3 linked regions of the Canis lupus familiaris genome follow. The protein of the gene in region 3 interacts with the protein of the main gene of each other region in a pairwise test. Links are inferred from orthologs where the notes say so. Each region holds a gene or a part of one and is shown on either strand. Other genes may lie near its edges.

What was found.
Region 1: the proteins of SH3BP5 (region 3) and TNKS interact in a two-hybrid assay, tested with the Homo sapiens proteins (2 studies listed by BioGRID and IntAct). The link is inferred for Canis lupus familiaris from reciprocal best matches to the Homo sapiens genes SH3BP5 and TNKS.
Region 2: the proteins of SH3BP5 (region 3) and SOS1 interact in a two-hybrid assay, tested with the Homo sapiens proteins (2 studies listed by BioGRID and IntAct). The link is inferred for Canis lupus familiaris from reciprocal best matches to the Homo sapiens genes SH3BP5 and SOS1.

Annotation. Positions count from the first base shown.
Region 1 is NC_049237.1:35,854,858-35,858,611, forward strand, and holds the start of TNKS (poly [ADP-ribose] polymerase tankyrase-1), read right to left. Parts: upstream 2,239-3,754; 5' UTR 2,205-2,238; coding exon 1,532-2,204; intron 1-1,531.
Region 2 is NC_049238.1:31,204,867-31,208,520, reverse strand, and holds part of SOS1 (son of sevenless homolog 1), read left to right. Parts: intron 1-450; coding exon 451-1,106; intron 1,107-3,654.
Region 3 is NC_049244.1:27,844,787-27,848,126, reverse strand, and holds the end of SH3BP5 (SH3 domain-binding protein 5), read right to left. Parts: intron 2,800-3,340; coding exon 2,539-2,799; intron 2,049-2,538; coding exon 1,840-2,048; 3' UTR 586-1,839; downstream 1-585. UniProt on the Homo sapiens protein: Functions as a guanine nucleotide exchange factor (GEF) with specificity for RAB11A and RAB25. Inhibits the auto- and transphosphorylation activity of BTK. Plays a negative regulatory role in BTK-related cytoplasmic signaling in B-cells.

The sequences.
Region 1 (3,754 bases), on a different chromosome or scaffold from region 3:
ATTCCAAGACTTTCTGTGTCAATTAGGACTTACTTAAACAGTTTGTGCTTCATTTTTGTCACCTGTAAAATGAGGGTAATATTATCTTTCAAGTTGGGGGGAAAAACAAACAATACCTTAATAAGTTCTTACTATATATTTTACCATAAATAGAACAAATTAAAAGAGTGGTAGGTATGAGCAACAGCAAGAAACGTAACAGAAGGTATCTTCAGCGTGTTATCTTTGATGTTTGTGTGTGGGCCTGGTGCTTTTTCATTTTGTCTTTCTATCCTATGTGAACTGTATCATGTATATATACATACATTTTTAATGTAATGTTTATAATGTATGTAACATTACCTTCATCTTTTGGAATATAATAGTAGATATCTGGGCAGTGAGATTACAGTCCTTTTTTGAATACTTCTTTGTATTTTATAAAAACATTTTATATGGCTTTAAAAGACAAGGGTCAACTACTTGACTTAAAAAAAAAAAAAAAAGACAAAAAGTGTGTGGTCCACGATTTAGGAACTAGCGTTTTTTTTGGGGGGGGGAGAACCAATGTGCCAGGTGCTTCTCACTAAATCCTCACACAAACCTAGATATCATTTTGTCACTGAAAAAACTGAGGCAAGGGGATCCCTGGGTGGCTCAGTGGTTTAGCGCCTGCCTTTGGCCCAGGGCTGATCCTGGAGTCCCAGCATGGAGCCTGCTTCTCCCTCTGTCTGTGTCTCTGCCTCTCTCTGTGTCTCTCATGAATAAATAAATAAAATCTTAAAAAAAAAAAAAAAAAGAAGGACACTTAAAAAAAAAAAAAAGAAAACTGAGGCAATCAAGATAAGGTAAACTGTCAGGCAACTAACAAATAGGAGTGTCCAGGGCTTCAAAGCCTTTATTTCTTCCACCATCACATAACGCATCCAAATATTCCTCTCCGGTTGTTTCATACAGGCACATTTTAAATCTACCCAATTAGACTGTAAACTCCTTGAGGAAGAGAAAAAGTGTCACAGATTTCATTCATGTCTTCCATGGGCTTCGGAAAAGTAGGATAGATCCTTCAACACTTGTTGAGGTACATCAAACTTCTTTTGGTCTAGACTGTTCTCATGGGACACATACCCTTGTATATGTTGTAAAAAAAAAATAAATAAATAATAAATAAAAATAAAAATAAACGAAATAAACTAAGGAAACAAATGGCAAAACTCTTAAGACTGCCCAAATCTAACTTTATTCCTTCACACTGGGAACTGAGGAAAGTTCAAGCACACCCATACCCGGAGACTACCGCTAAGGGGGTTTGGAGACGAGTGCAAGTACCACGCGGTAGGCGAACGCTCCAAAAAGAACGGATTCACACCTTCCCCCTACCACGCCCCCGTCCTCCAGGCACTAACCTAAAGAAAGGAACCCCGAGCCCTCCCGCCAGGCGTTGGAAGAGCCACAGCCACGCCCCCGTCCCCTTCCATCGCCGCTGGCTTTCCGTCCCTACCCGGACCCCCATTCCCAAGACCGAACCCCTGAAGAAACAAAAGTCTCTGACCTGCAGCGAAGTGCAGGGGAGAAGACTTCCGGCCGGCCATGTCCTTAGCATTCACGTTTGCCGCGTCCACCAGCCTCTTGACCCGGGACACGTCCCCATTGCGACAGGCCTCCAACAGTTCCCGTAGGGCCCCGCTCACTGCTGGGACCCCTGGCCCAGGCCCCGCTGCCCCAGGCCCCAGTGTTGCTGTGGTGCTAACTCCTGCCGCCTCGGGGCTCTCCGCCAAGCTCGATCCGGGGGAGGATGGAGAGGAAGATGAGGAAGAAGTCGGGGAAGAAGAGGACGACGGTGAATTGTTACTGCCACCGCCGGCTGGGTTGGGAGCGACCCCCACGGCAGATGAAGCGGACACCGCCGGGGCCACGGGAGCGGCGGCGACGGTACAGATTGTGCTGGTGGTACTGCAACAGCTGGTACTGTCAACCGGCTCCGGGGATCGAGGCCTGTCGGGCGGATCCCGACTGCCATCCCCCTCCGGCAGCGCTAGGCCGTGCCGCGGGGAGGCGAAGGGGGCCAGGCCGCCCGCCGTTGGGGAGGCTGGGGTGGTCCCCGGGGCCAGGCCGGGGCTGAGTGGGGGGGGAGGTGGTGGCGGCGGCGCCGAAGCCCCTGGGGCGGGCTGGAGCTGTTGTTGATGATGGTGGTGATGATGCTGAGAGCGACGCGACGCCGCCATCTTCGGACTCCCCCAGCACTGTCACTGCGGCAACGGCCCCACCGCCCGCCCTCACTTCCGACCGCTAGGCCAATTAGCAGCCAGCGCACAGGAAATGATGCTTGGCGGAGTGGGCGGGGCCTAGGGGAAGGAGGGAAGTATTGGGAGCTGGGAGAGCAGCCACGGAAGGGGGCGTGGCTTGGCGGCTGGGGGGCGGGCTTTGTGACGCCTTGGCGGGCCGGCGGCGGCGATTTGAAAGTTGGAACTGACCACTCCCTGGATGGGCCGCTTTTCCTCCTTTCTCGCTCTCACCCGGCTTCCGTGGTTCAGATTGCCAGGATTGGAATTCAAGCTCTCTGATTTCCTAGCTGTGCCAATTTGGGCAAACTGTTGAAACACTCTGCGTCTCACCTTCTCCTCTGCAAAACAGCGAACAGATCAATAATCGTTAACTATTAAAATTATAATTTTTCCGGGATCCCTGGGTGACGCAGCGGTTTGGCGCCTGCCTTTGGCCTGGAGACCCGGGATCGAATCCCACGTCGGGCTCCCGGTGCATGGAGCCTGCTTCTCCCTCTGCCTGTGTCTCTGCCTCTCTCTCTCTCTCTGTGTGACTATGATAAATAAATAAAAAATTTTAAAAAACATTAAAAATAAATAAATAAATAAAAATAAAAAATTATAATTTTTCCTATTTTTATCTCTGTACTTTTATTTCTCACCTTAAGTTTGACTCAAATAATTATGAATATGTTCCTTTTGAATTCTTTTCAGCTGGACTTCTCCAATGCTCCTACCTCAATTCTCTCTCTCTCCCAAAATAAGATAAAAACCTCACTACTCTCCATCACTTACCTTCAGTTGCCATTCTTCAGCAACTACTTTTTCTCTCTTTCCTCTGCCTGTCTCTAATGCCATCAAAAAAAAAAAAAAAAGATTTCTCAGTGCATGGGATAATCTCTGTGATCTCCATTCCCTCCTATTTTTTTTTTTAGATTTTATTTATTTATTCATTAACACACACACCCACACACACACAAGCAGAGGGAGAAGCAGGCTCCATGTAGGGAGCCTGATGAGGGATTCAATCCCAGGACTCCAGGATCAAGTCCTGGGTCAAAGGCAGGCGCTAAACCGCTGAGCCACCCAGGGATCCCTGGACTCCTATTTAATAGTAAACTAGTCATTGTGGAAGTTTAGACAAACAGCATTATTCCGATAGAGGGCTTATAGATGGACACCGTCTTAAGAAAGAACAAGGTTTACGTGGGTCAAGTAGAAATTTGTCTCTGCAGAATATTAAACCGGGTGATAAATCGTTCTTTTAGAAATTCATTTTAATATAATTTTACTGTGATGTTAATATTCTCAGCTAAATAAATAGGTAGGTTTATTTAATAAGACTACTATCTACATAAAACAAGGTCAGAAACATAATATTGAGAGACATTTGTTATCTGAGGTTATAGATTATAACTGAACAGTATTCATCTGTTTCATAAATTTGTGCCTATTGTTCACAAATACGTCGCCAGATAGGAAAACTCCATCAAAACAAGTAAAATCTGTCA
Region 2 (3,654 bases), on a different chromosome or scaffold from region 3:
ACTTGAGGTATTAATTCAGATAACATTGCTTCCACTTTCTTAATTATAATATGTGCATGTTTGTTAGCTTTAGGATTTGTCCACTTAAACACTTCTAAATAATTTTTTTAAAGTCTTTTAAACGATTTTTTTCACTATATTGGGCTACTTTTTAATATTTGTCATTCTAAATATTTAGAAGTCAAGGTAGAAATAATCATTCCATAGCTAAATTTATAGAGTAGAATTTTGTCATTACTCATTGTTCTTTTTAGAGCACTAAAAAAAGTCTCTACTGTGTTGCTTTAGTTCCTAAAATGGTGCAGTTTTATAACACTAATATATTTGGAAAATTAATGAAAGCCTTCTCCGTGCAACTTTTTAAAATGTACTTTTATATTGTCCTTTATTTTATGAATTCTAGATTGTCTGTCATCTGTGTACTAATGATGTTTTTTTCCTTTATCCCAGTGAATCTGCATGTCGGTTTTATAGTCAGCAAATGAAGGGGAAACAACTAGCAATCAAGAAAATGAACGAGATTCAAAAGAATATTGATGGTTGGGAGGGAAAAGACATTGGACAATGTTGCAATGAATTTATAATGGAAGGAACTCTTACACGTGTAGGAGCCAAACATGAGAGACACATATTTCTCTTTGATGGCTTAATGATTTGCTGTAAATCAAATCATGGGCAGCCAAGACTTCCTGGTGCTAGCAATGCAGAATATCGTCTTAAAGAAAAGTTTTTCATGAGAAAGGTACAAATTAATGACAAAGATGACACCAGTGAGTACAAGCATGCTTTTGAAATAATTTTAAAAGATGAAAATAGTGTTATATTTTCTGCCAAGTCAGCTGAAGAGAAAAACAATTGGATGGCAGCATTGATATCTTTACAGTACCGGAGTACACTGGAAAGGATGCTTGATGTGACGATGCTACAGGAAGAGAAGGAGGAGCAGATGAGGCTCCCTAGTGCCGATGTTTATAGATTTGCAGAGCCTGACTCTGAAGAGAATATAATATTTGAAGAAAACATGCAGCCCAAGGCTGGAATTCCAATTATCAAAGCAGGAACTGTTATTAAACTTATAGAGAGGCTCACGTACCATATGTACGCAGGTAAGAAATATAAAGTTGCCTGTCACTTTTATTTTCCTGCTTCCAACTGATTTTCTTTGCTGCACAGGTCATTGTGCCTAAAATAGAAAGCAAACTAACAACAAAAGATCTCTGCATTATTCCGAGTTCATTTTCCTTTGCCTAAAAATACTGCCATTTGTACCTTTTCTGCCACATTTAAATATTATTTTTAACTTTACAACCAGAATTACAAGTAAGAAAATAAAATCACTTGGCTAAATTTACCCAATTGGTGGCAGAAACAAGATAAATCATCATTAGGGTCTAAAAACCTTTACCTTTTTTTTTCTTTCTTTCTTCTCTTTCCATTACTGAGATCTTAAAGTCAGTAAAAATTTTAGTATACATTCATTACCAGAACTGTGCTGGAATATGCGCATTGCTTTTTCTTAATTTCCATTCCTAAAACTTTCATTAAAGTTTTCAATATTTTTTTTCTGTTTTACAATTGATCACATTTAAGAAAACAGTATTACCTTAGCAGGGCAGTTTTTAAGAGACAAATGCATCCAAACTACCTAGGAAGATTGGTGGAAGCCAAATCAAATGTAATGTTGGGAGAGTTTAGGAACAAACATGATTTTTTTTTTTTAAAGTAATTCTATTTCTTCTAGTAAAGTAACCCATGATAATCCAATGTTCCTCAACCTTCAACTTTCCTACACGATAGAAAGCTTGGTAATTGTACAGTGCTGTAGCCTATGGTATAGTGGAAAGAGCACCAAATCTGGATTTACACCCTCACTCTGTCACAGTTCCCTAAGGTCCCAGACCTCAGTTTTCATCCCAAAAATCAACATCCCAACAGCAACCTTAGAATGTTATTGGAAAGAACAGATCAACGACTATATGCAAAAGCTCTTTGTAAATATAAATGTAAAATTTCAAAGAATGTTTTTATTACAAAGATCTATAAACTCAAACGTATATCTTATAACATAAATGCTCTTCTGAAGTAGTTGAATGTGAATGTTAACCTCCATCCCTATACTTCTTGCTTAAATATATTCTTATTTCTAAGAGATGTGTATTTCTAAGGGAGGTGGGGGTCTTTTGGTTTGTTTTGTTTTTTCATTTTTTAAAGTCCTCTAAATGGGTTCTCAGTTCTCTCTGGAAACTGTTCTGGCACCAGTTAAACTTTTAAAGATTACCCATTAACTGATCCATTGTAATAAAGATGAATAGCATTTGATAATATTAATCTGTTTGATTTATTAAATGTCCAGTCAGAACTACTTAAATGGCCTGGAAACTATCAGGGCCTCTTTGCAAAAAAAGTAAAATCAAGTTAGAATATTTTTATCAAAAAAAAAAAAAAGAATATTTTTATCAGTGATATCAAAACACTTTCGTTAATATCATGTTTCATTATCTCCACATGTCTCTGGGATAAATAAGCCAGTTTTGTTTTGGTTTTAATTTTTATTTGGCCTCCAATTGGTAGTTCTTTTGCTAGCTAGCCTTTTCCATAGTAAAATATTAGTGTTTTCCATAGGTTATTAAAAGCAGTTTGGATTCTCTAAACAGATTCCATTTGGTAGTAGCAGGCAGTAGCTGAAACACGTTGAAGATCATGCAAGAAACCTACTCTGGGATTCCAATTTTACTACTGATTTTTCACCTAGAAACTTCTGCTATCAGTGTTTTCATTTTACTGACTCAAAAATGAAAAAAAGCACAGGAAAGTTAAATAAGCTGCCTAAGATTTTACATAAAAAAGAAACAGATTACTCTAGCATCTTTTTTTATGTTATATAAAACTTTTTGAGAGGTATAATTTTCAGTAATTAATATGACTAACCTATTTTGTGATCTTCATCAGTTTCTGTGTACTCTTTAAGATCAAAATCAACTACAAAAATGTTTCATTAAATTACTCGAAACTTGTGGTTGCAGAATACTTCTTTCTTTGATTTTTAAGAATTTTTAAGGTTGTTACACAAGTTCAAATTGTTCTTCTTGCCACATTATTCTCAGTCTTAGATGATTCACTGATTTCATTAGCATGAACATCCTAAACTGTTTTTTATTTTAAATACCTTTGCTTTGAGTTCTTAGACTGTATTAAATTAATCCTTAGATTTTTATCTACATAAGACAAAAGTTTTACTGTTTTTTTTTTCCTGTAGAGCAATGTTAAGTAGAAAGTGCTAAAGAAGACTTATTATGTCACCATAGTGGCATTTAAATTGGAAAACATTTTCAGATTCCAAATTTTTTAATATAATTGTTTCTGTAAAACTTGATTGTTGATAAAGTTTTTTTTAAAAACTGCATTTCACAGAACTAACTTATTAGTAAACAGTTGCAGAACTACAATTAAATATTTTCTGGAAACTCTGCTTTTTATTTATTTTTTGAATTGAAAACACTTTAAAACAAAACTTGAACAAGCATAGCTGAGAGTTTTTCTGTAGTCTTGATTATTTTTTCTCCTTAATGTACACAATGCTAGCCAAGTCTGTAGACATAGTACTTTTGCTGTAGTGTCTTGTGAGTTATTTTTGATTGTGGCTCTTCTTTATAT
Region 3 (3,340 bases):
TGTCAACTAGATGCACATTAGAATCAGCTGGGGAAGCTTAAAAAGTTCAGTATGTGGGGATCCCTGGGTGGCTCAGCGGTTTAGCACCTGCCTTTGGCCCAGGGCACGATCCTAGAGTCCCGGGATCGAGTCCCATGTCGGGCTCCCGGCATGGAGCCTGCTTCTCCCTCCTCCTGTGTCTCTGCCTCTGTATCTATCATAAATAAATAAAATCTTAAAAAAAAAAAAAAGTTCAGTATGCAAGTGTACCCCAAATTAATTATACTGGGCTCTAGAGTTATAATAGCAGAGAGCAACAGTATTCTTTAAGCTTCCCCAGAGATTCCAGTGCAGCAGAGGTTGGGAAGCATTCCTACATAATCACCTTGTCTTCATTTTCCTAATGCTGTGTCTCCTTACTGCCCAGCTTTAGTAGCAGCAGCAGAATTCTAACTCAAACCTTGGTAACCGGGGCTTAAATTAGTAGGATGCAGGACCTTAAGTGGAAACTAAGACAGTTGACCACTGCATTCCATGTTCTTCCTTGTGGCAAGAAGGTTGCCTAGAATGGAAGATTGAGGGTTTATTTGAAGACACAGAAAGGTAAACATTTTCTTAGGCCATTTTTATTACACTCAAGGAATTAAGACAAGTACAAAATAACCTTGTAATTAGGATACTGTATCAGTCGTTAAAAAAGGAGAAGACACTACAGTATGGAGAGATTTACAAATGACTAAAATATACAAGTTGTATCAGAATTAACAGACAACTTGAAATGGGGTTGCTTTTCTTTTAGAAATGCTATTTTTTTAAACAAAAGGACAAATAAAATACAGTGCTCTAAATATATGTAACCATGAAAACATGAAAGAAAAGCAATCTTAACACATACTATTAGCATAACAGACTTCATTGCTTCTATTTAACAGCCTGTGCCAACACATGCCTACTCCCTTTCCTATCTTTAAAGAACAGTTCCCTCTAAGAAATACTAATGCAGCATTACCCTTAAATAATTTTTTAAAGTCACAACCTACAGAGAAATTGACACCTTGTCAAATCTAGATATAAACAATGGCAACCATTCTTTACATGCACTTCTCTTAAGAGTTAAGTCCCTTGGCTGGTAGGATAAGGTTTATGCTATAGACTCTTCTCCCCCACAGCCACAAATCACCACCCATGGTATGTCCCTGCTACCCTCCATCCCTCCCATCCCCACGTTGGCATTCACCTCCCCCCCCCCCCAAAAAAAAAGTGCAGTTCATGGTAACCTTTATAGAAAATGGTTCTAATGGGTATCCCAGTCTATACGCTTTTTTTAAAAAGCCCCTTCTGAATACCAGAGGTGATGAAAATGAATCGTGTTCTTGGAATTTTTGTAAGCCTTCGCTGGGTCAAAAAGGGGTGTTCTGATTAAGTTTCATTCTTGTGTGCGTTCATTTAGATCCCCTGGGATATAAAGGAGAGAACATCTCCATTTTCCCAATCTGAGGATAAGAGAAGGGAAAGAAGCAAGCTGTCGACCCCGGTTTGGCTCAGCTTCCCAGCCCCTTTCCTGGCTCGGGTTCTTTCACAGGAACTAGTTATTGCTTCCATAACACTGTTACAGGTAATATTCCACAGAGGCTGTGACCCTGGTCACAGTCCACTGCAACAACGCCTCCACTCTGAAAAACCAGCCCAAGAGCTCTTCCCAGAAGGAAACTCTTCAGCCCTCAAGGTCACAACTTCATTAGTGCAGTTTACAGTAAACGCTTAAGATTTGGCATATATTAAATGATTATTGGCACAATGTTCTCCATACAGCTTCGTGTATAAATACTGCTATGCACTTGGGCCAGGGCTTCAGATGGATCAGCCAATCTGCACCATTTTTATGTCAGCAATAATCCCATCTCTTCCTTTTGAGCACTGGAGAGAGAGCTGCTTCATCCTGTTCTCCAAGGCCTGGCCCTCACGGGAGGTGTTGCTTTGGCTCTTGCCACTGCCACTGCTGTTGCTGAGACCTCGATTGTTGTTGGCTTTGTCGCTTGTTTTATTCTCTGCTCCTTCTGCCCGGTCTCCTAGAGAGATGTAAAGGAGATTAAGTACATACTGACAATTCCAAGAACCACCTGAGCCCAAGGCAACTCAGCCCTCCAGAATCTCCCAGGGTTGTCCAACTGCGCCTGTCACAGAGCATTCTCCATCACATGACTACACATTGCTTTTACTGGTCAAGGCATTTTATATATCCCTTATCTTTAGAGAGGATTGGTCAGACCCTAACAGCCAGGAAACAAACCTCTAGCACATGCTTGTCAAGAGGGCTGTTAGCGAAGACAGAACCCAAGCTGCACTTTGAGGAAGTGTTCGGAAGCAGAGCCAAGCAGAGCCCTCCCAAAACAGCAGCCAGCATCTCTGTGGTCAACACAATGCACATTCGCAGGGGTCCAGGGATGCAGCACGGGAGTGCCGAGACCTGGCAAAGGTCTAGAGCAGCACGGAAAGCTGACTCCCGAGGCAGCGAGGCATCTGGCAAAGGCACTACTGGCTGAGAGGGCGGTCACTCACCTCGTTCTACCTCACATTCGGGGGATGAGGCTCCACTGCATTCACTGCGAGGGCCCAATACCGGGAACATCATCCCAAACTCTGACAGAGACACAGGGCTGGGCAGATCCAAGCTGCCAGGCCTCACGACTGCAGGGAACTGGTCAGGCATCTCAGATGGGCTTGTTGGCCCTGAACTAAAGCTGGATACAGACTGGGTTTCCGAGTCATCTTCAGACACGAAGTTGCTGCAGTTATCATCTTCAAAGGCCTCGGAGGCCACTAGGAGGAGAGACAATACCAGTCGTAGGTTCTGACGGAGAACAACCTAGTTCCTGAAACCCCTCTAGATGTGTGCACTTCTGGCTGGCAGCTGGATGCGGCCTGGGGACCACAGAATCCTTGCCACCGTGGGCACCTAAGAAAAGGACCCTGACCCTCCCAAGCCTGCATGGCCAGACTGCCAACTTCAAAGGGAAGCAGTTGGACCCCATGGATATCCCGTGTCCTTAAAATAACCTCCTAACTTCTACCCTAGAAGTCAGTGTCAACTACTTCAATACACTACCTAAAGTTGGAGGATGAATCTGCCCCAGAACAGGGGCTTTTCTCCGCCCCAGGTCCCCAGGTAGATCCACATGTACAGAAAGAGAGTGGCCCTTTGTGATGCACACTAAACAAAGCCAGTCAGCCGTAACAGCTGCTTCCATGCAGCAGAAGCAGGAGCTACAAAAAGAAATGGTCCTGTGTGGAGTAACTGTTGGGATTCTGTGATCTTCCAGGCACCTTCTGATCACATAAAAGACAAAGTATATCACCATTT